Pelodiscus sinensis: one gene and its partner. The protein of the gene in region 1 interacts with the protein of each later gene in a biochemical or structural test. Links are inferred from orthologs where the notes say so. Each region holds a gene or a part of one and is shown in the gene's direction. Other genes may lie near its edges.

Region 1 (10,374 bases):
ACTGCCCCCGTTTAATTGGTTTACCTATGTTTAACCAGTTAATCAATTCAAGGGGATGGGGTGACCAGGAAGGATATGGGGTGGGGCTGTATCCATGGTGGGAGAGCAATGGTGGGGAGTGGTGTTCGGGTTCAGGCCGCTCTCTCTCTCTATGGTGTGGGTGGAGGGTCATGGTGGGGTGTGGTCTCTAACTCTCTCCTGGTTGCAGGTTTCAGTCCCCGTGGAGGGCGCGGTGGGTTTGGGGACCGTGGAAGAGGCCGAGGGGGCTTCCGAGGAGGCCGAGGTAAGTGCTCTCTGTGCCCCAGTGGCATCGCTGTGTTGGGGAGGGGAGGGCTTTGTGGTTACGACTGAGCACCTGTGTGCTGCACCTCCCCCTCTCCCCTCGGTCCCAGGCAACACCCACTGTTGGAGACCTTCCTGTCCAGTGAATACTGGGAGAATTTTGCTCCCACCGCACCTCAGTTCAGTGGCCATTGACTTTGGGCTGTGTTGCTGTGTGGACAGCACATCCTGTCCCAGCTCCATCAGTGTGCCATGGTCCAACCCCTGCCTGGGTTATTTCCCCTCGTGATCTCAGGGACACTGGATCCCCGCCTTCATATCTTGTCCCAAAGTGAACAGCTGCTCTGCCCCTCTGCTTTCCATGCAGGGCGGGGACAATGGCACAGGGCCAATGTGCTTCTACTCCATCTCTTCTCTCCCTTGTAGGTGGTGGGTTTAAATCTCCGGGTGGGAGTGATGGAGGCTTCCGAGGAAGAGGAGGTGGCGGTGGTTTCCGTGGACGAGGCGGGCCAGGCCGAGGAGGCCGCGGTGGAGGAGGCCGGGGCGGCCGAGGAGGGTTTAAAGGAGGCAAGAAGGTGACGGTGGAGCCCCACAGGCATGAAGGTAACCAGCATGGGACAAAATAGTGCTGTCTCCTGGGAGCAGTGAGGTGTTGTGGCCAAGGTGGTCTGCCTGGACTGGACAGCGCTGGGATTCACTGCTAGATGTTGGATTGATCAGGGCACAGCTGGGGTGGATTGCTATCCAGTGTTGGAGGCACTGTGTATGGGAGGTTACATGGCTGATCCATGGCTTGGCAGCCCTGCTGTGATCCCTTTATGATTTGCAAGGGCAATTGACTCCTTCCCATAGCAGGGAATGTTCCCCCTGCTCTCCTTAGACTTGGGAAGAGGGTTGTCCCTGTTCTGACAGCTTCCCATCCGTTTCCTCCTTCCACCCAGGCGTCTTCATCTGCAGGGGGAAGGAGGATGCGCTGGTGACGAAGAATCTGGTGCCCGGCGAGTCTGTGTATGGAGAGAAGAGGATCTCTGTGGAGGTAGGCGGCCTTGTGGTAATGGGGGAAATTCTGGGCAGCACTGGCTGCCCCAGGACTCAGGGGTGGGATGGTGCCAGCCTGTTAAGGCAGCTCCCATGTTTCTAGAGGGACACTACCCCAGCAGGAAGGGTATTAGGGTTGGGGCGACTGCCACAGTGGAGCATGCTCGCAGCCAGTTAACAGCCCCGGGGGAGCTGAGCTGAGCTTTGACCCTGCTGCTCTCTCTGCAGGACGGTGAGCTGAAGATAGAGTACCGTGCCTGGAACCCTTTCCGCTCCAAGCTGGCAGCAGCCATCCTAGGTGGCATTGATCAAATCCACATCAAGCCGGGAGCCAAGGTCCTGTACCTGGGAGCTGCTTCTGGAACCACAGTCTCACATGTCTCCGACATCGTGGGGCCGGTAAGGAGCTGCTGTTGGGCCTGGGTCTGAAGAGGATGGGGGTGGGGGCAGGGACGAAGTGTCTAGTGAGTATGACTCAGCTGTGCTGAGAGAAGGCAGTGCCTGATTGCATTGTGGGGGGAGGGGAGAATGGGAAGAAAAGCTGCTCTGCCCTTGGGGGAGATGGCTGACCATGGTTTTTTACCCCACCCAGGAAGGCCTGGTCTATGCTGTGGAGTTCTCCCATCGCTCCGGCCGTGACCTCATCAATGTGGCGAAGAAACGCACCAACATCATCCCCGTCATCGAGGATGCGCGGCATCCGCACAAGTATCGCATGCTGATCGGTGAGGGCTCTGGGCTTCCTGGGCAGGGGTCAGTCTACAGACCAAGGATCCCCTGTCGTTCCCAGCCCCTACTGAGAGAAATTACGTTAGCATGGCCCAGGAGAGGCGGGGATGGGAGGAGAGCACGCTACAAAGCAAGGGGTCTCCCACCATGCACGATGTCCTGTGGACCCCTCCCACAGAATGGCTTCCCTGCACTGGGGGAGCTACCAAGTGAGGCTCACTGCCGTGCACAAGGTCTGGGCTGATAATGCCCATTTGCACGGTGGGGGCGGAGGCAATGTGGTGCCTCTCTGCAGCTGCTGGTTGGGTGGCTCTTGAGTAGCTGGAGGCTCCTTGTGCTCAGGCTGGATCATGAGGTGTTGTGGTGGGGGGGCTTGGGCAGGGGCTGGATCTGCCCCTGTGTGAGGGAATGGTGGAGGCTGGCATTTAAACCAGCCTCTTCTCCCTGCAGGGATGGTGGACGTGATCTTTGCCGATGTGGCTCAGCCTGACCAGTCCCGCATTGTGGCCCTGAACGCTCACAATTTCCTGAAGAATGGCGGGCACTTCGTCATCTCCATTAAGGTAAGAGCAGTGGAACCTGGCTGCTGCCCCTCCGTGGGCCCCAGGACTGGGACCCGTGAGCTGTTGAGTCCTCGATCTCAGTGCAGTAGTCCTCAAGAACCAGCCAGGAATGGGGGATCTGGTGTGCAAGGTGCTGCACAAGGACAGGGAAGCTGCCCTGCACTGCACACTCATGTGTTAGGGTCCTTTATCGGGGTTCTGTGGGCCAACTGCTCTGGCTCTTCTGTAACCTCTAGGCTTTGGCTAGTCCCTATGGCTTTGGATTTATTTTGGGGGGGAGGGGCAGTGGGTCCTCTGGCCCATGTTAGATCCCTTTGCCTGCAGGTGCCACACACTGAGGTTGTCTCTTGTGGAGAAAACCTTTTGGATCTCTTGGGGTGGTGCTGGTCCCTCAACTATTGGCCACCCTGTGTCCCTGGAGGAGGGGTCTCAGCTGTGGGGCAGGTTCAGGACTGCCAGGGAGGTGACTTTCAGCATTGGGAGGGGATATCTAGTGACAGAACCATTTGCATTGGAGGGGAAAGTTGCTTAACTGCACAATGCTTCCTTCCAGGCCAACTGCATTGACTCTACAGCGGCTCCTGAGGCGGTCTTCGCCTCCGAGGTGAAGAAGATGCAACAGGAGAACATGAAACCCCAGGAGCAGCTGACACTGGAGCCCTACGAGCGAGACCATGCTGTGGTGGTGGGAATTTACAGGTATAGTAGTAACAATGCTGAGAGATTGTGAGGGTGGGAGGAAAGAATGGCTGGGTTTGCCCAGCAGAGGGGTTGGGATATGTCCATATATCCCCGATGGGAATGTGCATTAGGGATGTCAGTGTGTAGTCAACTACATGATAAACCAGTAAACCTGAGCTTATCAGTTAATCTTGTCAATGACATCTCTCTCCCCCTCCCCCAACTGCCTCTGTATCAGAGGTTGCAAGCAGGGAGGGGAGCGGGAGACAGTGCCTGCAAGGAGCTAGGTTTAAACAGGCTCCCCACGCACACCGGATCTCTCAGCCCTTTTGCCCCAGCACTGCTGCCTTTGATATAGAGGCACCAGCATGGAGGGTGAGGGGGGCAGGCTAGAGCCATTACATATGGGGAGCTAGCTTTCAAGCAGGCTCCCGGTTTGTGGCCGCTCTGTGGATCCACCTGCCCCATTCCTCTGGCTGCCTCTTGCAGAGGCAGCGAGGGGGGGGGGGGGCAGTCTCCACAGTACCACCTGCCTCCCCACCCCTCCTGCTACTGCATCTATCAGAGGCAGCAGGAGATGGGTGTGGGGAGAGGAGGCTGGTGCAAAGCAGCCTGTGTCCACGGCGGCCCAGGCTTGCCACAGAGAGAGGCTGGTCTGCAGCATCAGTCCCTGTCCATGAAGGGGTCCGAGCTCACTGCAGGTGGAGGCCGCTCTGCATCCCTTGGAGCAGCCTTTGTCCATGGTGAGCCTGGCCCCACTGTGGACAGAGGCTGGTCTGCAGCAGCAGCCTCTGTTTGCAGGGAGCTCAGACCGCTTGTGGACATTGCCAAGCTGATGCCTCTGTATCAAAGGCAGCAGTGCAAGGTGGTAGGCAGCTGGTCTGCATGTGGAGCTCGTTTTTTAAACTAGCTCCCTCCTGCCCACTTCACTCTGCTGCCTCTGATACAGCCAGCCCCAGGGGCTGTCGAATAGTCCTGTAACCGCTAAGGCTTTATGCAGATATGACTATTCAGTTACACGATAGCCGGCATCCCTAATGTGCATGGAGGTGTAAAGGCCTGGACCTGTGGGGCTGCTCTCTTTGGGGGATGGGTCTTACCCTTACCTTTCTCTTCCAGACCTCCCCCCAAACAGAAGAAGTAGTATCTCTGTGGAGCTCCTTGTCACCAGGCCCCAGGCTGGATCCCATCGTATGCTGGCTCTTCTTGCCTTGGGTCTGGGTGTGCTTCGTGGCTGTGGGTTCCTCTCACTGCCCACCCTTCTTTTCCCCCAGGACTCATTTGTATTCTTTGTGAATTTTTTTGAAGATGTATTTTTATTAAAATGTGAGAAAATGGCAGCGGCAGGCTTGTGTGTGCTGGGCAGGCAGTTCACACGCATAGGTCACACCCTGTCTCCTGTGGCTCTTGTGGAAGCTCTGCCTGCTGGGGACGGGTGGGGTTTGGGGAAGCCAGGGCTCTGTTCCTCATTTCTCCAAAGAGTGATGGGGGGGGGGGGCTGGCAGTGCCCCGGGATGGGGGGGGCGGGGGGCTGCGGGCGGGATTGCTCTGCAGGGGATGGGGAGTTGCCAGGCAGTGGTAGAGCTCCAAGGTGGGGGGGGGGGGGGGATACTGGGAGGTGAATTGGAGGAATGGGCCAGGGTGGGGTCTAGGTCGGTGCGCATGGCCTTTACTGAAGGGGAGGGGCCATGGAGCGGGAGGGTTCTGGCTCCCCCGCCCCCCACGGTGAGGGTAGAAGCCCTTCAGAAATAGTGGGGCTGCTGGTCGAATCCCCTGATTGGCTGGAGATGCGCATGCGAAGTTGGCGCTCTCCTTCCTTGCAGGTTCCTGAGCTTTGCGTACGGGAGAAACGTCACATAGTGGCGCGTGCCTGGGGGGTGGGAACAACGCCTGCGCACCACCCGGAGTGATCACATGGTATTTCAGCGCCAATGAGGCAATACCGTTGGCGATAATTGATGACCCCATCAAACGGCGCCTCTGCCGTGCGCGTTTCATTCCACTGGTCACGCGCCTCTGCCTAGCGCGCATGCGTAGATTCCTTCTGGTCGGTCTCGTCACGTGGGCTGTCGGCCGCACGCGCGTGCGCACGCCACTCTGCTTGGCCCGGATCACGTGGGCGGCCGGCGCGGCGCATGCGCGGTGCCCTGGCGGCGGCGGCGGTTTGTTGTGGTCGCCATTTTTTGTTGCATTACTGGGAAATCCCGGGGCGCGCGCAGGAGCCGCCGGACCGGACCGGGACCCGCCGCCGGGGGGCGCCGCCCGCAGCGGGCCGGGACCGGGATCTGCCTCCGCCCGCGCCGGGCCGGGCGCGCCAGAGTCCTCCGCCAGGGCCGCTGCCGCAGGTGAGCCCGGCCCCTCCCCCGAGCCTGGGACCCGCCCCAGCCCCGCATCCTCCGGCCCGGCCCGGCCGGCTCCGCCCGGCGCCCCATCCGGCTCCCCCGGGGCCCGCTTCCTTCCCCCGGCTCGATCCGGCCTGGGAGTCCCGACTTCCCGCCCGGCCGCGGCCCATCCCCTTGGCCGGGCCCGCCTCATCCCTGGCAGCTGCCCTGACAGGACGGGGGGGCGCAGGTGCCGCGGGCGGGGCAGGGGAGTCCCAGGGGAAAGCTCAGCAGAGAAATAGCGGGGGGCCGTTTGCTCTTGGGCTCCGGGGCCGGTGCCACCTTGAATCCCCCTCGCCTGTCAGGGAAGCTGCACAGTGAGATGGGCCTGGCCCTCGCCCCTACCCTGCTTGGCTGGAGATCCACTGCTGTTCCCGCCCCCTTTTGCCTGCGTCCTGCCCGTGTGACCCCTGCCCTTGCCCCTTCTCCTCGCTCCACCAGGAACCCTAACTATCTGGCAGGGCCACAGCTGTGGGTGGGCCCACATCGACCCTTAATTCCCCACCTGTACACTCGACTGCCATGGTCAGTGCCACAGGTTTGACCAGCCAGGATTCCTGCTCTCTGCCTGGAGCTTCATCTGTCTGGAACAACTCAGAGGACTCTTGTAAACTGACTCCTTTCTCCTTACCTTGACTCCCCAAACTGCCCTACTGTACATGCTCTTAATCTTCATTCCTGGGAACTGACTCCTTAGATCTAACCTGCCTCAGAAATCATGACCTAGGAACTGACCTCCCCCCATAATGTTGCACTTGCCTAGGAACCAACCCACTGCTGCCTTGCTCTACTTGCCCTGGTAACCATCATAAAGAAAGTGAGCCCCTTCCCTCTTGTCCCTGGCCCACTGTATTTGTACCTGGCACTAGATACCATCACATAGAAAGCAATCCTTTGCTGCCCTACTGCAATTGCTATGGAACCCACTGCCCAGGAAACAACTCCCCCTTCTCCATAGCCTCCTGCTTGCTGTAGCTGCTCCTGAATCTGCCCCTTGTCAATCCGGCTCCTCCAGGTCTCTGGGAACACTAGCCTTATCTTCTCTCACAATGCATTGTCATCAACAAATGTCACCTGAAAAATTCCCCCTTGGGAACCCCAGCCTCACACTCCGATACCTGCCTGGGAATGCTCATGCCCATACTTGAGAACAATTTGGAATCTACTCACTGCTTTTTTTCACCCCCTCAATATCTTCCTGTACATCTTTCATGTTAACCCTGATCCCACCTGCGTATTCCTGGTGCCTGAGAAACCTGTTACATTTGTCACCCTCTCCAAAAGCAAACTCCCTCTCTTTTGGTACTGACTGGAAACTGGGCTCTCTTATCTGGTGCCACCCAGAAACTTTCTTCTGATACCATCTCCCCTTAGATCCCTTCACTATGTTGCCCTCATTTACTACTGGGGTGGTACTCTTGATTTTAAATGGCACCTCCTAGAAATCTCCTCTTACATGTTGGTTATGGCCCTGTCCCAACCTGTGCTCTCTCATCCCCCCCAAAATGTGCAGCCCATTCCTGTTCCACTCCAAGGAACCTGGCTCCCTTCCCACTTCTGAGAACCTGGAATCCCTCCCATCTCAGTTCCCTGTCTAATCCTGACAACCCTTTCCTACCCTAGCCCTACATCGTCTTCAGGTATCACCCCCTGGGCCTATCTGCCCTACTTTCACTCCCTCTGCAAGCTTTGCAAGGTGATGGGTGATCTTGGTCTGGGTGGAGTTTTTGCTGCTGTTATGTGTTTATGATTGTGTCTGTGGTGAGGCCTGCACTTTACAGGGGTATTTGTATCTGTGATGTGTGTGGTGTTTTCACTCAGTGCATTGTGGGGGTATCTGCATTGGAGTGATACAGATCTGGGTTGGGAGGATCCGAGTTTGAACAGGGATTGTGGTATGGATATGTGGCTAGTTAAGGTCTGGAATGGAGGGGATCTGTATGGAGGTGTGTCTGGATGAAATTGGTACAAGCAAAAGCTGAGGTTTTAAGTCTGACTGACAATCTCTTAACGAGGCCAACCCTACATTATAACTTACATTGGCATAACTAGGATATTTCAAGGATGTGAAAAATCCATGGCCCTGAGCAAGACAGATATACTGATCTAACCCCTAGTGTAGCTACTGCCTTTCATGGAGGTGGGTTAACTATGCCAGTGGGAGACACTCTTTCTTTGACATGCTATAACTTTTTACGAGTAGGCCTACTCTTGGTTTCCATTATTGAGGGCATGTTTATGCTACTGAATTAAGTCCACCTGAATTATGTCAGTGTACTGCAGTAACTGAATCAATGTTACGTGGCCATGCTATACTTCTTGTGTTGGTGGTATGCATCCTCCCCAGGAATGTTTTCCTCAATTTAACTGCTGGTGTGAGGACATGTGAGATGGTTTCTGAAAGGCAGCAGCAGTTGATGTAGGCAGTACCACATCTGCTCTGACACTGCATTAATTTAACTATATTGGCCTAAGTGCCACACCTATTGCGGAGGTGGAGTTAAGTCGGCATAGTGGGTGAGTTACATCGGTGGGAGCTACACTTTAGTTTAAACACTTAACACTTAGGTCAACGTAAGCTGCCTTCTGTTGTCAGAACTCCAGTGTACCTGAGGGTCTGCGCAGTCACACACCTGCCAGTTCTCCAGTTGTCCATAGAGTCGCCTGATAGAAATGGGTGGTGAAGACCTCATTTCCCAGTGTCAAAAAGAAATGTGATTCTGGGGCTGGTGGGCCCCATTGTAGCAGCACAGATGTTGGAAGAGGCCATGGCCATTGGTGCTTTTTCCGGGTAATTTCACCCACATCCACACCCACCTCATTCTAGTTTGTTCCCTAGCAGAGCAATTTGAACAGTGTTGTTCCCAGGGAAGTGGGGAGAGCAGAAGACTGTGTTTGGTTCCATTCCGGGCACCTCCGCTGTGTTTGGATCCTGACTGGGCACCTCTACTTTGTCAGCCATGTGGCATCCCTGGAGAGCCTACATCTCATGGCTGGGCCCTGGTCTCAGGGCATCTCCCTTCCCTGGGCCTTGCTGGGTTTGCCATTGTTCTGTCCCAGCTGCTCCAGAACTTAAGGCCTTGATGTCATCTTGAGTGTTCATTTCCCTCCCCTGCTCATGGGCCAGCCCCCTGCCATTTCTCTCTTTCCTACTCTGTGTGCCTGCCCTCTGCCAGTTCTTCTCCTCATCCTCTCACCCAGTGGATCTGTCCCCATCTTTCCTACTGGTTCCCCCAGTGGTATGGCCACTATTTTCCCCTTCCCTGTTTCCTCAGCAGTAGAAGGAAGGGACTCCTGGAACAACAGTGGCTGGGTATCTGTTCACGTTAAGGCTTAGCTGGAAGGGGATCTTTCTGTCTCAGAGTGGGAGGCAGCAGTCTGGGGTTCGCCTTACTTGATACTGGGGAATTGCTAGAATTTCCAGCTCTGAGAGGACAGGCATCCCAGTGGTTAGAGCAATAGCCGAGGACTTGGGAGACCCAGGTTTAGTTCCCTTCTCCTCCACATACTTCCTGTGTGGCCTTGGGCAAGTCACTTAGCTTCTGAATGCTTCAGTTTCCCCGTCTGCATCATGTGGATAATGGCCTTGTGAGGCTTTAGAAAAGGTGGCATGCTCAGATCCTGTTGTGTGAGCTGCATAAGTTCATAAGATAGAGACTAACCCCTTCAAAATACTGTAGGGCAACCATGTGGATGGCCCATGCTGCAAGGTTTGGTTGTGCCTTGAGCTATGGTGCCATTCTGCTGTGGCTGGAGTGGAGCCTATCCCCGAGAGTACCAGTCCCATTAACTGGGCCTAGAGGATGTGGTAGTGGCTGTCCCAGGCAGATGCATGTTGGGACCACCCAAAGCACCTTAACTCTGCCCATATGGGTTGCCTTGGTAGAACAATGTCTGCACATCATAGAGAGGGTAGTGCTTCCTAACGAGACAAGCCTGAGTAACCCAGGAACTGACTGGAAGCTGTTTGGGGAAGTAACTGTCCATTGAATGTGTGTCTGTACAGCACCTAGCACAAGGAAGATCTGGTTCATGGCTGGGGCACTAGGCCCTACCATAATACGCCTAACAAACCAATAACCTATAGCTCCTAGGCCAGTGATGTCCTGATCTGTTGGTAGGGCTCTTAGGTGCATTTAATAAATAACGCGCAGCACTCTGCACAGTGAGGTCCTGGTCTATGACTGCCATAATACACCTAATAAATACCAGTGTACAGCATCTAGCACAAGGGGGAGCCTTGTTCATGCTGCGGGTTTCTTGGCATAGGTACTACCGTCGAACATCTGATAAACAGTATGCAGTGCTTAACACAATGAGACCTGGTCTGTGACTTAGCCTTCCTAGTAATACCCCAGTAATAAGGGCAGTGCTGATCCATAGGCAGATCTTGTCTCCTAACCCGCAGGCAGGAATGTTTGTCCCAAAGAAGCAACTTATTTAAAAAAAATCCCATGTAACATAATTCTGAAGTTTTCATTCATTATTCCTGTTCCTCCTAATCCATTTTCCAATCACGGCTCCTCTCTTGTGGTGGTGAGGTCTGTAGGTGAACAGCATAGTGTGCACAAAGACAACTTTTCCTTTAATCTTGCTGCTGTGTATTTTTATGGTGAATCCACACATGCCCAGCTGGGTTCCAGATAACCTGCTTGTAACACACACACCTTCCTAACATAGAGCAGTGATAGAAATGTAGC
Region 2 (11,128 bases), on another chromosome or scaffold:
GATCTAGGTGAGAGGATTATTCTAGGAGGGGTGGGTGAGATTCGGTGGCCTGCAGTGTGCAGGGGGTCAGACTAGATGATCATAATGGTCCCTTCTGACCTTAAAGTCTATGAGCAGCTGCAATAATCAGAGGAGCTTGATCTAACAGTCCCTTAATTTAAAAGAAAGAGTGCTGCTGGTGAAGTTGTCAGAGAGACATTTTTCCCCTACCCTCTTGCTTTACCATCTGATAGAGCCAACTTGTCAGCTCATCTTTTCTTTTGGGTTGTTCAGGAAGGGAGAGTTTGAGGTGAGGTATTTTGGGGGGGAGGGGCTGAACTGTTTATTACTTTTACTGCAACTTGAATTTTTACATTAAGAATACTTACCTTTGGGGTTTTTTTTTAAATTATTTGTCCAGTCATCTGGAGTTAGGAATAGGCACCTCTGAAAGATTAAAACTAGTAAATTCTCTGCTTCTAGTTGGTCTTCAGATGCAGCCATTCTGAAATGTTCCGTGCTTGGAGGTTGCAAAAGGGACCATGAGCAGCTGGAAGATGGTTTATGGATTCATCAGGAAGCTATATCTAGTGGTTTTCAAGAAAAATTACTGAATATTATTTTTCTTACTTGTGTCTTTCAGTAATGAGCCCAGATGTTGGTTCCTCTTTTCAAAAGTGGGTTCTTCCCAAGAAACAAAAGAAATCAAACATGTCTTAACTTAGGTGGTATTCAGAAGAAATGGGGGCACTTCCTGGCCAAGTATGTTTGTGCCCAAAGTAATCAATTAAAGGAAAGCTGTTGTGTAATACAGAAGATAACTCTGTGTGCTGCACAGAATAATGAGGTCATTACAGTACACACAGAAGTGCACACTCTAATAAAAACATAATACTACACTAGGCATTTTACACGTGACAGAGTAATGTTCATGTCTTAAATATAACTACATAGAATAATTCATAATCAAATGGGGAACTGCCGTCTTCATGGTATGATGAGATAGAGCAGGACTTTAACATAAATCCCAAATGTATTCATAAATGAGCAGTAGACTTTTTCAATCCTTCAAAGATAAGGTATTTTTAATGGTCTCAATCACTGTAAAATTAATCTTCCCCTCGTCACAAAAATATAAAATGCACATCACATTATCTGTGAAAAAAATTAATAAAGTTGTGGGGGACTAAATTATACCCTTTCAGAAGATCTCACCAGTGGCTAAAATGCCAATGGCCAGTTTACACTTTCCTCCTAGTCTGCGTCCAAACTGATAAATGCTGCATGTGTGAAGTCTACTAAGAGGGACTAATTGCTACAGTATCTCCCCCTTCAACTGGCCAAATGGATGCAACTGTGATAATTTTATCTATCCCTGAGAAATGTGAGCTGTACCCCCAAATTATGCTCTCTGGACAATATTCTAGGACTGTGCTCTATGGTAGCCATTCAGAGAGGCTGGTCATCACCTTTTTTCACCAGAAAACAGGGAGTTTCCCCAAAACATTGCTTACTCTTTATTCCTGTGCTGTCTCCTGCATATTTAAAGATTGTGGGTCACAATCACCTTTGCCTTGATGAATATGTAATGGATATCGGTTGCTCAAGAGTCAGACCCCACCAACTCTACTCCAAACCTCAACCAGAGCAGATCATTGGACAGCTGGCAAGCGACAGGGATCAGGCCAGGAAGGGATTTTTTCCCCCTCAGTATATTCTGGGTGGATTTTTTTTTAACCTCCTTCCTGTAAAGCATTGGGGGGACCAAAGCTGGAGATGAGACATCAGTGGAGCGGGCCAGAGCTCTGAGGTGGCACCAGCTTTAACCATTCTCTTTCTCGAGTGATTGGCTGAATTACTGTTACTCATATGGGGTATGTCTACACTACAATGTTAGTTCGAACTAACGGATGTTAGTTCGAACTAACATTCATAGCCGCTACACTAGCGCTCCGCTAGTTCGAATTTGAATCGAACTAGCGGAGCGCTTAGTTCGAACTAGGAAAACCTCATTTTACGAGGATTAAGCCTAGTTCGAACTTACTAGTTCGAATTAAGGGGTGTGTAGCCCCTTAATTCGAACTAGTGGGAGGCTAGCCCTCCCCAGGTTTCCCTGGTGGCCACTCTGGCCAACACCAGGGAAACTCTATGCCCCCCTCCCGGCCCCGGACCTCTTAAAGGGGCACGGGCTGGCTACAGTGCCCGTGCCAGGTGCAAGCCTGCCAGCACCCAGCCAGCAGACCCTGCACCTGGCACGGCACAGCGCCACCCACCCGATGTCCCCCAGCCCACCCCCTCTTCCCGGGACCAGGCTGGCGGCTCCCGGGAGCTTGCCCTGGACCGCAAGAGGCGGGCACCTTCCTGGGCTACTGCGGACATAGTGGACCTCGTCCACGATCTCCGCACTAGGCACAGGAAAGTGGCCGGCTAGGGCAGGAGAGCTGCCAGCCTGGCCACCCAGGAGCAGGTGTGCATGAAAATCAAGGGGGTCCACTGAGACCCCTGACCCTGAGCCCTGAGCTTACAATGGCCGTCCTGGGTCAGACCAAAGGTCCATCTAGCCCAGTAGCCTGTCTGCCGACAGTGGCCAACCCTAGGAACCCTGGAGGGGATGGACCAAAGACAGTGACCAAGCCATTTGTCTCGTGCCTTCCCTCTCCAGCCTTCCACAAACTTTGGGCAGGGACACCACTCCTACCCCCTGGCTAAGACTACTCCATGGACCCAACCTCCATGACTTGATCTCACTTCCCTTTAAACTCTGTTCTAGTTGTAGCCTTCACAGCCTCCTGCAGCAAGGAGTTCCGCAGGTTAACTATTTGCTTTGTGAAGAACAACAACTTTCTCTTACTAGTTTGAAGCCTGCTACCCATTCCTTTCCTTTGGTGTCCTCTAGTCCTTTTTTATGGGAACTCATGAAGAACTTTTCTGAATGCACCCTCTCCACCCAACCCCTGCATTTAGAGACCTCTATCCTGTCCCCGCTCCATCTCCTCTTTTCTAAGCTGAACAGTCCCAGTCTCTGTAGCCTCTCTTCATCTGGGACCTGTTCCCAACCCCTGATCATTTTAGTTGCCCTCCCCTCTCCCAGCCTTTCTCTTCCCCTCTCCCACCTCCTTTTCCCAGTCTCCCCCAGTTTTGTTCAATAAAGACAGAGTCAATGTTGGAAGAAACGTTATCTTTATTTTGTACATCAGGAAGGGGGGCTAGGGAAGGGTAAGTGGAAGGAGGTGAGGGAGGAATGGGGTACGCGCCCCCGATGGGGAGGACTGGGCTGGCTCTGCGGGCTTCTGGGGGTGGAAGCTCTCCTGCAGCCCCCCAATTGCCCCCTCTCCCCAGATGGCAGCCTGCGGCAAGTGCAGCCGGGCTGATGGCCGAGTGGTGTGATGTGCCCAGTGTGGCCAGTGCCCAGTACTCCGGGCAATCCAAGCCAGGTCTGCTTTGCAAGCGGAGCACCCCTTAGAACTGTCTGTCCGGGGTGGGGGTCGGGACCCTTTAAGCGCAGCCCTCAGCTAGCCTGAGACAGCATCTCCACGCTCTATGTCCTCCTCTGATGCCCTGCCGGCACTGCTTCCGGCCATCCTTAAGCCCTGTTCAGGGTCCACTCAATGTGGACTTGCTAGTTCGAATTAGCAAAACGCTAATTCAAAGGGTTCAGAAGGCAGGAGGGGAATCAGGGCTAGGGCAGGGGAGCTGGGCTCAGGAGTGCAGACTCTGGATGGCACTTACCTACAGCTGCTCTCAGAAGCAGAAGCGACTCCCCACCCAGCTCCTATACAAAGGCGCTGGCAGGAGGCTCTGTGCGCTGCCCGTTTGAAGGTGCTGCCTCCCACAGTTCTATTGGCCACATTCCCAGCCAATGAGAGTGGCGGGGCAGTGGTTGGGGCAGGAAGGATTTTTCCCATAGGTCAGATGAGGCGTAACTATGTCCGTGTTCTGCCCACCTCTGCAGTATGTCACTTCCCAGGATTATCTGGATATATGTAATTTAATCATTTTCCTGCCATGATGTACCTTTCTATTCTCTGTAGCACAAAAGCCTAGATTTCTATGGAAGCTAACAGCACCATCCTTACCCATATGTAGAATACACAGTTGCATGGGGCACTTGAAAATTTGGGGCACCACTGGGTCTTTATATCCACCATCCACCTCTTCTTATCCCTATTCTGTGGCTCTGCTTCCTTCAGAGGCGATCTAGTTCCGGGCTACTCAACTTTGGAAGCCCCGTGGGCCACAAAGACGCTCACAGCACATGCCGAAGGCCTCAGCTTAAGTGTGGTTGCCTATACATGCAAATATATGCAAATAGCTTCTGTCACACTGACAGGCATGAATACAAAGATTAAGACAAGACTACACAACACTCAAGACTCCATTTAAGTCAGTTCTGCTGATATGAATAAAATGCAGTATTACTCCATTTCTACCCATCTGACAGCACTTTTAATGAGCAATGACAGTCTAGGAATTTAACTACTAAAACACAGATCAACAGAAGACCATTATATTGACAACTATTTTGTTTTGGCTCCCTCCTGTGGGCCACATGTTGAGCCCCACATAAACCCAAACGGCACCAAGGGCTGCAAACAAACAGGCCACGTGTGGAGTAGCCCTGATCTAGTTAATTAAGAAGTGAAACACCTTTCAGAAGAATGTTCTATCTGTGAAAGAGACATTTCAATTGGTAATGAAGCCATTTAATAGGCATTTGCCAATCCCCAGTAAATACTGTCAGTTTCTGAATTTATGTGTGTTACTCTACAGGGCCTTGGTTTAAACATTGCTTTAAAAATGTCATTGGTGTGTCTCTCAAGATTGTAAAATCACATCTCTAAAAAATCATCCTCCTTCCTCCCCTGTGCTGTTGTTGGGCAAAAGGACACCAGATTAACAGTGCTGCATAAGGCCCCATACACCCTAAGGATGTCCCTGGATCCTAATGCTTTGATCACATTTTTGTGGGTGGGTTTAGTGTGTGGGTGCTAGTCAGTGGTCTGTGATAGACAGGCAGCCAGACTAAGTCCCTTCCGACCTTAAACTCTAAGAAATTATTTCAGGTTTTAGATAAAATGTAACCACGTGCAAAAAAAATTCTCATTTTTAACCTGAAGGAGTCCTTTTGATGAATGTTCTGTATTTTTCTACGTACAAAGAGAAAGCACGTACCTTCATACCAAATCAGTACTGTAATTTAAATAAAATAATTACTTCTCTATTTTTTGCTAAATAAATGATGAACCCCTTAGATCAGATAGAAATGTTAGATGTCTCCCTCTAAAATCTTCCACCCACAGAATGCAAACTTCCTTTCTCTAGATTCTGTCCAATCTGCTATTTATTTTTGTTGTATGCTTGAGAGACAACAAATACAAACATTCTTAAAGTAAAAATTCACATTCAGTCTGAATGATTTATTTAAGATTAAGGAAACCACCACATTAAGGAAAGAACAGCGATAAGAGCACAACGTGCAGGAATCTCCAATGTAACATGCTGCAGCAACTCTGGGACCACTGTGGCTCTTGTCTCCGCACAGCATGTTCCTAGAATCATAAAGGTGCAGCACACAGAAAACAAAGGGTGGCAGTTTCGTAGCTGTATGCATCACAGCTGGCTTTTGTAATGAAAATGAAAGTTTTCCAAACTTACAACTAAGGCTCAGACTACTGACTGGTGAATGTGAGGCTGGGTTCCAAGATGTCCAGTGTGCCACATTCACTTCTCTCTTCTGCACTGTGCCAAGAGGAGGAGGTGCTCTCTGGAGCAGAATCCATCTGAAACAAAGGAAAACCATTAGTGAAAATCCCTGCTGAGGGGCTGAGCCAGCAATCCACTGATAATCTGTTGTTAGGAGCAGCCCTAGGAGTTTTGCTGGTCAGGGCAGAAAAATCTTTCTACAGTGGCCAGAGGAAACAAACACCATTAAAACAGATGGCCAATCAGCAGAATGGAGTAAAATAGCCACCAAAACCCTGGGTAAGGGCAACCATCTTCCTGGCCCATCCCCCCTACAAGTGGCCCTGCTTGTTGTGTTGTCATCATAGGGATCCAGTTTGACGAGGAGCTTTGTCTTTTGCTGACTCAACAAGCATGAACTCTATGGAATGAAGCTTGGGAAGCCCCCAAAGGGAAGGGAGAGTCTAAGGTCACAGTGTAGCAGCATCTTTTGCCAGTCCTTGGGCTGTGCAGGAAGCTCCATCCAGCCTTCCTCAGCTTGGGCCTTAGAGGAGAGCCTATAAATGGGGGGCAGTTGTGTGATGGAGTGACTCTATAGAGAACCCTCAGTAAAACATTATTGTCAAAATTTTCCCCTCTCTGATCCCGCACAGGAAACAACCATCACTTCCCGATTGAGATGGTACAAGCTATAAAATCAACATTGGGAAATTAGACTATTACAAGTTGATCATTTTAGATACACCTTGTTAGCCAGTCAGAGTAGACACGTTAACTCCCAGATGTGGAGATGAAAAGGGACAGCGACTTATCTGACTTCCAGTACAAGAGTGGCCAGAGAGTTTGGCCAAGTGATTCCTGCATCAAGCCTATATCTTTTGGGATTAATTAGCACAAGTCGTTTAAGAAAGATCCAACAGTTAGGAGTAGCTCCCTAAAGCAGGTTAGTTTCAACAGGGACAGAAGTACAGTGTTGATAAATGAAGTCACTGTGGGTGGCACTCATAGGGAGAGGAGGAGCAATTGTACGCAAGCCAGGAACCTCTAGCCGTGCACCAATACCCAGAACACAGCTTGCATGTTTATTTTGTTTGCCTACTTAGATTATAAATTCAATGAGGCAGGCCCCATGTCCCCTTTATAAAGTGAGCACATTCTCTGAGCACTCAGCAAATGAATAATAAAGGCAGTAGGTTATGAAGAAGACAAATGGGGACAGGTAAGTGTCAATATGGGGAACTGGCTCAGATACCATGTAGTGCCTCTGCATGTACCACAAAGTCAATGGGAGCCCTCTGGGAGATCTGGGAATATGAGAGTAAGTCCAGAGGTTGTACTTGATGCTTGGGGTGCACACAGCACAGATTGGCTGAGCTGCTGAAGCTGCTAATTCCCAACTCAAAGGGTTTTGTGGGGCTGAGCCTCATGCTTTTGGCTCCTGGAGCGTATCCCTGTTCTTGACTTAAGCCAATAGGGCCAAGAACCAGTCAGACACCTCAGCTCACGTTCTTGTTCCATTTTCTTTCCGTTTCTCTCTTCTGTCTGTCTCCCATCCTGGCTTTTTCCCTGGCCATTGCTTTTGCTCTCCTTCTCTCTTCTTCCTCCCTACCCTTCCCCCTCCCCCGCTCTCTGCACTTTGTGAACTGCTGCTGCAGTGCTGAAGTCCAAAGTTCAGTAACTTGCTAAGCACACGGATAAATATGAACCTTGGAGAATTTACACTGCTCCAATGTAAACAGATAGCCAAGGGTCCCTTTATCAGCACTGGCTCAGGACAGTCGTGGGGGGTCTAAGTGGCTCACTTTTATATTTTGTTTTTTTTTTGGGGGGGTGCAAAGGCGGGAGTCTGTGCCATTCCCACTCCACTGACAGTGGGTCGTGTTACCTCAGGAACATGGTGTAGGGAAGGCTGACGGCAGAACGTTCTGAAACTCAAATCCAACGGATACCAGACTGAAGACCATGGTCTCTAAGCTGAGTCATCTTCAGGTGGAGCTGCTAGGAGCACTGCTGGAGTCAGGGCTAACCAAGGAGACCCTGATCAAAGCGCTCGGGGAAGTGGACCCCTACAACCTCCAGAGTGAAAGCCAGCGAGCCATCAATGCCATTCAGGCCGAGAAAGGGGAGCCCTGTGCTGAAATCCCTCATCTTCCCAACGGGATGGAGGAATCCAGAATGTCCGAAGAGGAAACCTCTGATGATGGGGAGGAATTCACCCCTCCAATAATGAAGGAGCTGGAAAACCTGAGTCCAGAGGAGGCTGCTCACCAGAAGGCTGTGGTGGAGAGACTCTTACAGTAAGGACATGGCTTTCCTTTCCCCTTCTTGTCCTTCATTTATTTTTTTCACCCTCTTTCCTTCACCTCTTCCATGAAATGCCTTGATGTTCACAGCTGATCAGAAATTCTCCCCATCAGTGCCAGCCCCCAAACCTTCCTGAACTGACAAGGTTCATGTTCCTTTATAATGTACACACAAAGAGCCACACAGCCCGATCACATATTAAAATTGATCCTCTCATCTGGGAAACAAGGACTTCAAAAAGGGAGGTGCACAAGTTCTGTCTCATTAGCTGCATGCCCGTTTTTTCAGAATCCACCATTTCAGTTGTTAGGAAAATATAAATAAAAAGGAAGCGTGCAAATATCTGGGTGGCATACTAACCGCCATCATGGAGCGTGGGACTTTTCACCACAGGAAGGAAAAATATTCCTAAGTTCTCTTGCCATTTTTACCAAGATGTACATTTTTATTTTACTGATGTTAGCTAGAGTCAAGTATTTGTAAGACTGCTGATCTTCATGCGTTTGTGCATGTAAGACTCTCATTGATTGCAATGGGAATTTCAGATGCATGCCAAACTGACTGGCAATCCAAGTTAATATTATCCAATGCTTTTTAGCCTCCATCTCCCATCATGAACACTGAACACTGACAAGCCTGCGAGCTAAAGACTATTTTATGAGTTGCCTTAACATGCAATTATTTGTTCTTAAAAGTTTGAGCTCCCTGAACCAATAACGCCCGGTAAGTCCACAGACAGAACCAGAATTGTGCTCCTGCAATTCCGACTCAGCGACATGAATCTAAGAGATTCCGATGGGTAGTCTGCATGAGCAAGGATTTAAGATCTTGCCCTTCAAACCCACCTAACACAATCTCAGATGTCTGCCCTGAAGCTGCTCTCCAAGATTAGGAGCAAACAGGAGGCACAGGGTGACTACAATGTCCTGGAAAATCAAACTGCTACTCACAATCTTTTCTGGGAAAATTAAATTCTAGTCAGAGGCTCTCTCAGCTTTGTACCCACTCCTTTTTATGGGGAAAGGATATTAATACCAAAAAAAAAACCCTTCACCCACAACAAAAAGTACATACAAAACCCCAGCAGTAGACCGAAGATGTAGATATAGCACAGTACTTAAAAGTTAGTATTCACTGTAACATTAAGAGGATATGGTTCTATTGCCTGGCCTCTAGAGAGTCTGGGCAGATTTGGAACGGATCACATTACAGGAGCTTAAGGAAGAAAATACACTGGCTCTTACCTGAGATGAAAGATGCTCCCTATAATTCAGTCTTCTTTTCCATTCAGTTCCATCCATCCAGTCTCCTTTCACTGCCCTGCCTTTTCTATCCGTCCCTCTTCCTCCTTCTGATACCCCTACTGTTCCCAACTCCCCTGTCCTGTATCGGTTTTCCTTTGGTCCTCCTTTCCTATTCTTCCCCTTCTCCTGTCTCTCATCACCCTATTTCTAAGTCTGTCTGTCTCTGTGTGTCTCTCTCTTTTACATTGTTCTTCTCTGTCTCCTCTCCCTCTTCTCCCTAAGCCTGAGTACAGATCCTGGGGCAGTTGGAGCGCCAGTTGCACCGGGCGGGCCCTGGCTAGTTACTAATTATCCAATGGCTTTATTATTTCTCTTTTGTCTTATAAATTTATAAACGAAAAGACCCTGATAAGCTTTTTGATCATTAACTTCTGATGATTTATCAGGTGCCTCTCCATAGAGAAAACCATGGAAGTCAGAAGCTCTTGGCTTTAGCCCCTGTTTAATGAAGGGATGAAGGAGGAATTAAACACCATCTATTAAGCTCTGGTAAAGAGAATTTCACAACTGGGGGGAATTCCTGTTCTGGAGCTGGTGATCCAGTGTGGTCCTTTACCACCGTAACTCCCTTCACGTTGGCATAAACTCTGGTTTCTGATCTTTACCATCTTCCCAGTAGCCCTGTGTGGTTGCTGTTGGTTTCAACACAGAACTAATTTCTATCCCCCATTTCTACAGCCATGCTTTGCACGTCTTCAGCATTTTCTAGTGGAGGATCTCAAAACTCCTTATGAAAAGGGAAATTGAGAAATCATCCTCGTTTACACGAGTTAACTGAGGCACAGAGTGCTTAATTGCCTTACTCATGGTTACATGGGAAGTTGGTGGAAGGGCTAGGAATAGAACCAGAATCTTTTGGAACCTGGTCCTGTGTCTTAACCACAAGGGAGGAAGCATATTGATGCAAACCCATGAGACATTTCTGAAATGGGGGCAGCAAGTAGACAGGTCTGATAAGAATCTCTGCTATTTTCTACAATTTTTAAAAGTGATTGTGTATTTTGGGAAATAAATAAAAAACCTCTTCTGGGTCGATATCAGAGACTGATAATAGGCAAGTGATGGCTGACAACCTTTCAGGAAAGAAATCTTCTTTTAATAAAAGAAGGTCTGATGGGTATGTTCTTAAAATAAATAAAATAATGTTTTGTATTGTATATAAATAATGCAGGTGTTAAAATGCCTCAATTCACTCACCAACAGAACAGGACTGGAAGGAAGGTAACAAGTCAATAAATGTATATACTATAGTTGTGCAAAATGGTGGATTATAGAAATCACCTCCCACCAGATGAGGCACAAGGAAGGTGACCAGCACTGTTTTACCAGACACAATGGCTGCAGAACAGAGCTTCTGTGTTTGTAAATTCATGGTTGCTGAAATATCGGAGCACACCATTTTGTGGTTTTCGAATACATAGGACGAACCAAGGCACTTTGAAAGCACAGAAACCTCTTCCCATGTTATTAGTACTTTTCGGACTATTATGGTAGACTACATCTTACTCAAAAAATTGTCTCATGGACACCATCTCTTTCTGTTCATGGTCACACTAATTTACTTGCCTACATGGGAAAGTCACCCAGAAAAGTGTTTAATGTATTTCTGTGCTTTTGATGTAGAGATGTACTGCCTGGGAACAAGGAGAAAAGGCACAGCATGACCAGTAACCTTTCTGCAGACCATTAGTATGTGCACTTTGAACCACACTAGAGATTCTGCAAAGCACAGTTTGTGAAACACTGTATTACACTGAGTACATCTGGTATGGAAGTAATTTCCCTTTATTACATAGCTCTAAGTTTACTTGCTAGAGTCCATTATCCTATGCCTCTACAAAATACTCTGAAAATACGGT

The links.
Region 2: of the proteins of dual specificity tyrosine-phosphorylation-regulated kinase 1B (region 1) and HNF1A, one has a biochemical effect on the other in vitro, tested with the Homo sapiens proteins (2 studies listed by IntAct, with this or other methods). The link is inferred for Pelodiscus sinensis from reciprocal best matches to the Homo sapiens genes DYRK1B and HNF1A.

Annotation. Positions count from the first base shown.
Region 1 is NC_134734.1:4,821,345-4,831,718, reverse strand, and holds the start of dual specificity tyrosine-phosphorylation-regulated kinase 1B, read left to right. Parts: upstream 1-5,307; 5' UTR 5,308-5,322; coding exon 5,323-5,638; intron 5,639-10,374. Other genes in the region: FBL (rRNA 2'-O-methyltransferase fibrillarin), read left to right, coding at 209-283, 709-885, 1,224-1,318, 1,549-1,719, 1,913-2,045, 2,500-2,612, 3,166-3,311, 4,413-4,437.
Region 2 is NC_134725.1:8,511,926-8,523,053, reverse strand, and holds the start of HNF1A (hepatocyte nuclear factor 1-alpha), read left to right. Parts: upstream 1-6,785; 5' UTR 6,786-6,857; coding exon of another isoform or gene 6,858-6,880; intron 6,881-7,551; 5' UTR 7,552-7,623; coding exon 7,624-7,958; intron 7,959-11,128. Other genes in the region: C15H12orf43 (protein CUSTOS), read right to left, coding at 5,321-5,759. UniProt on the Homo sapiens protein: Transcriptional activator that regulates the tissue specific expression of multiple genes, especially in pancreatic islet cells and in liver. Binds to the inverted palindrome 5'-GTTAATNATTAAC-3'.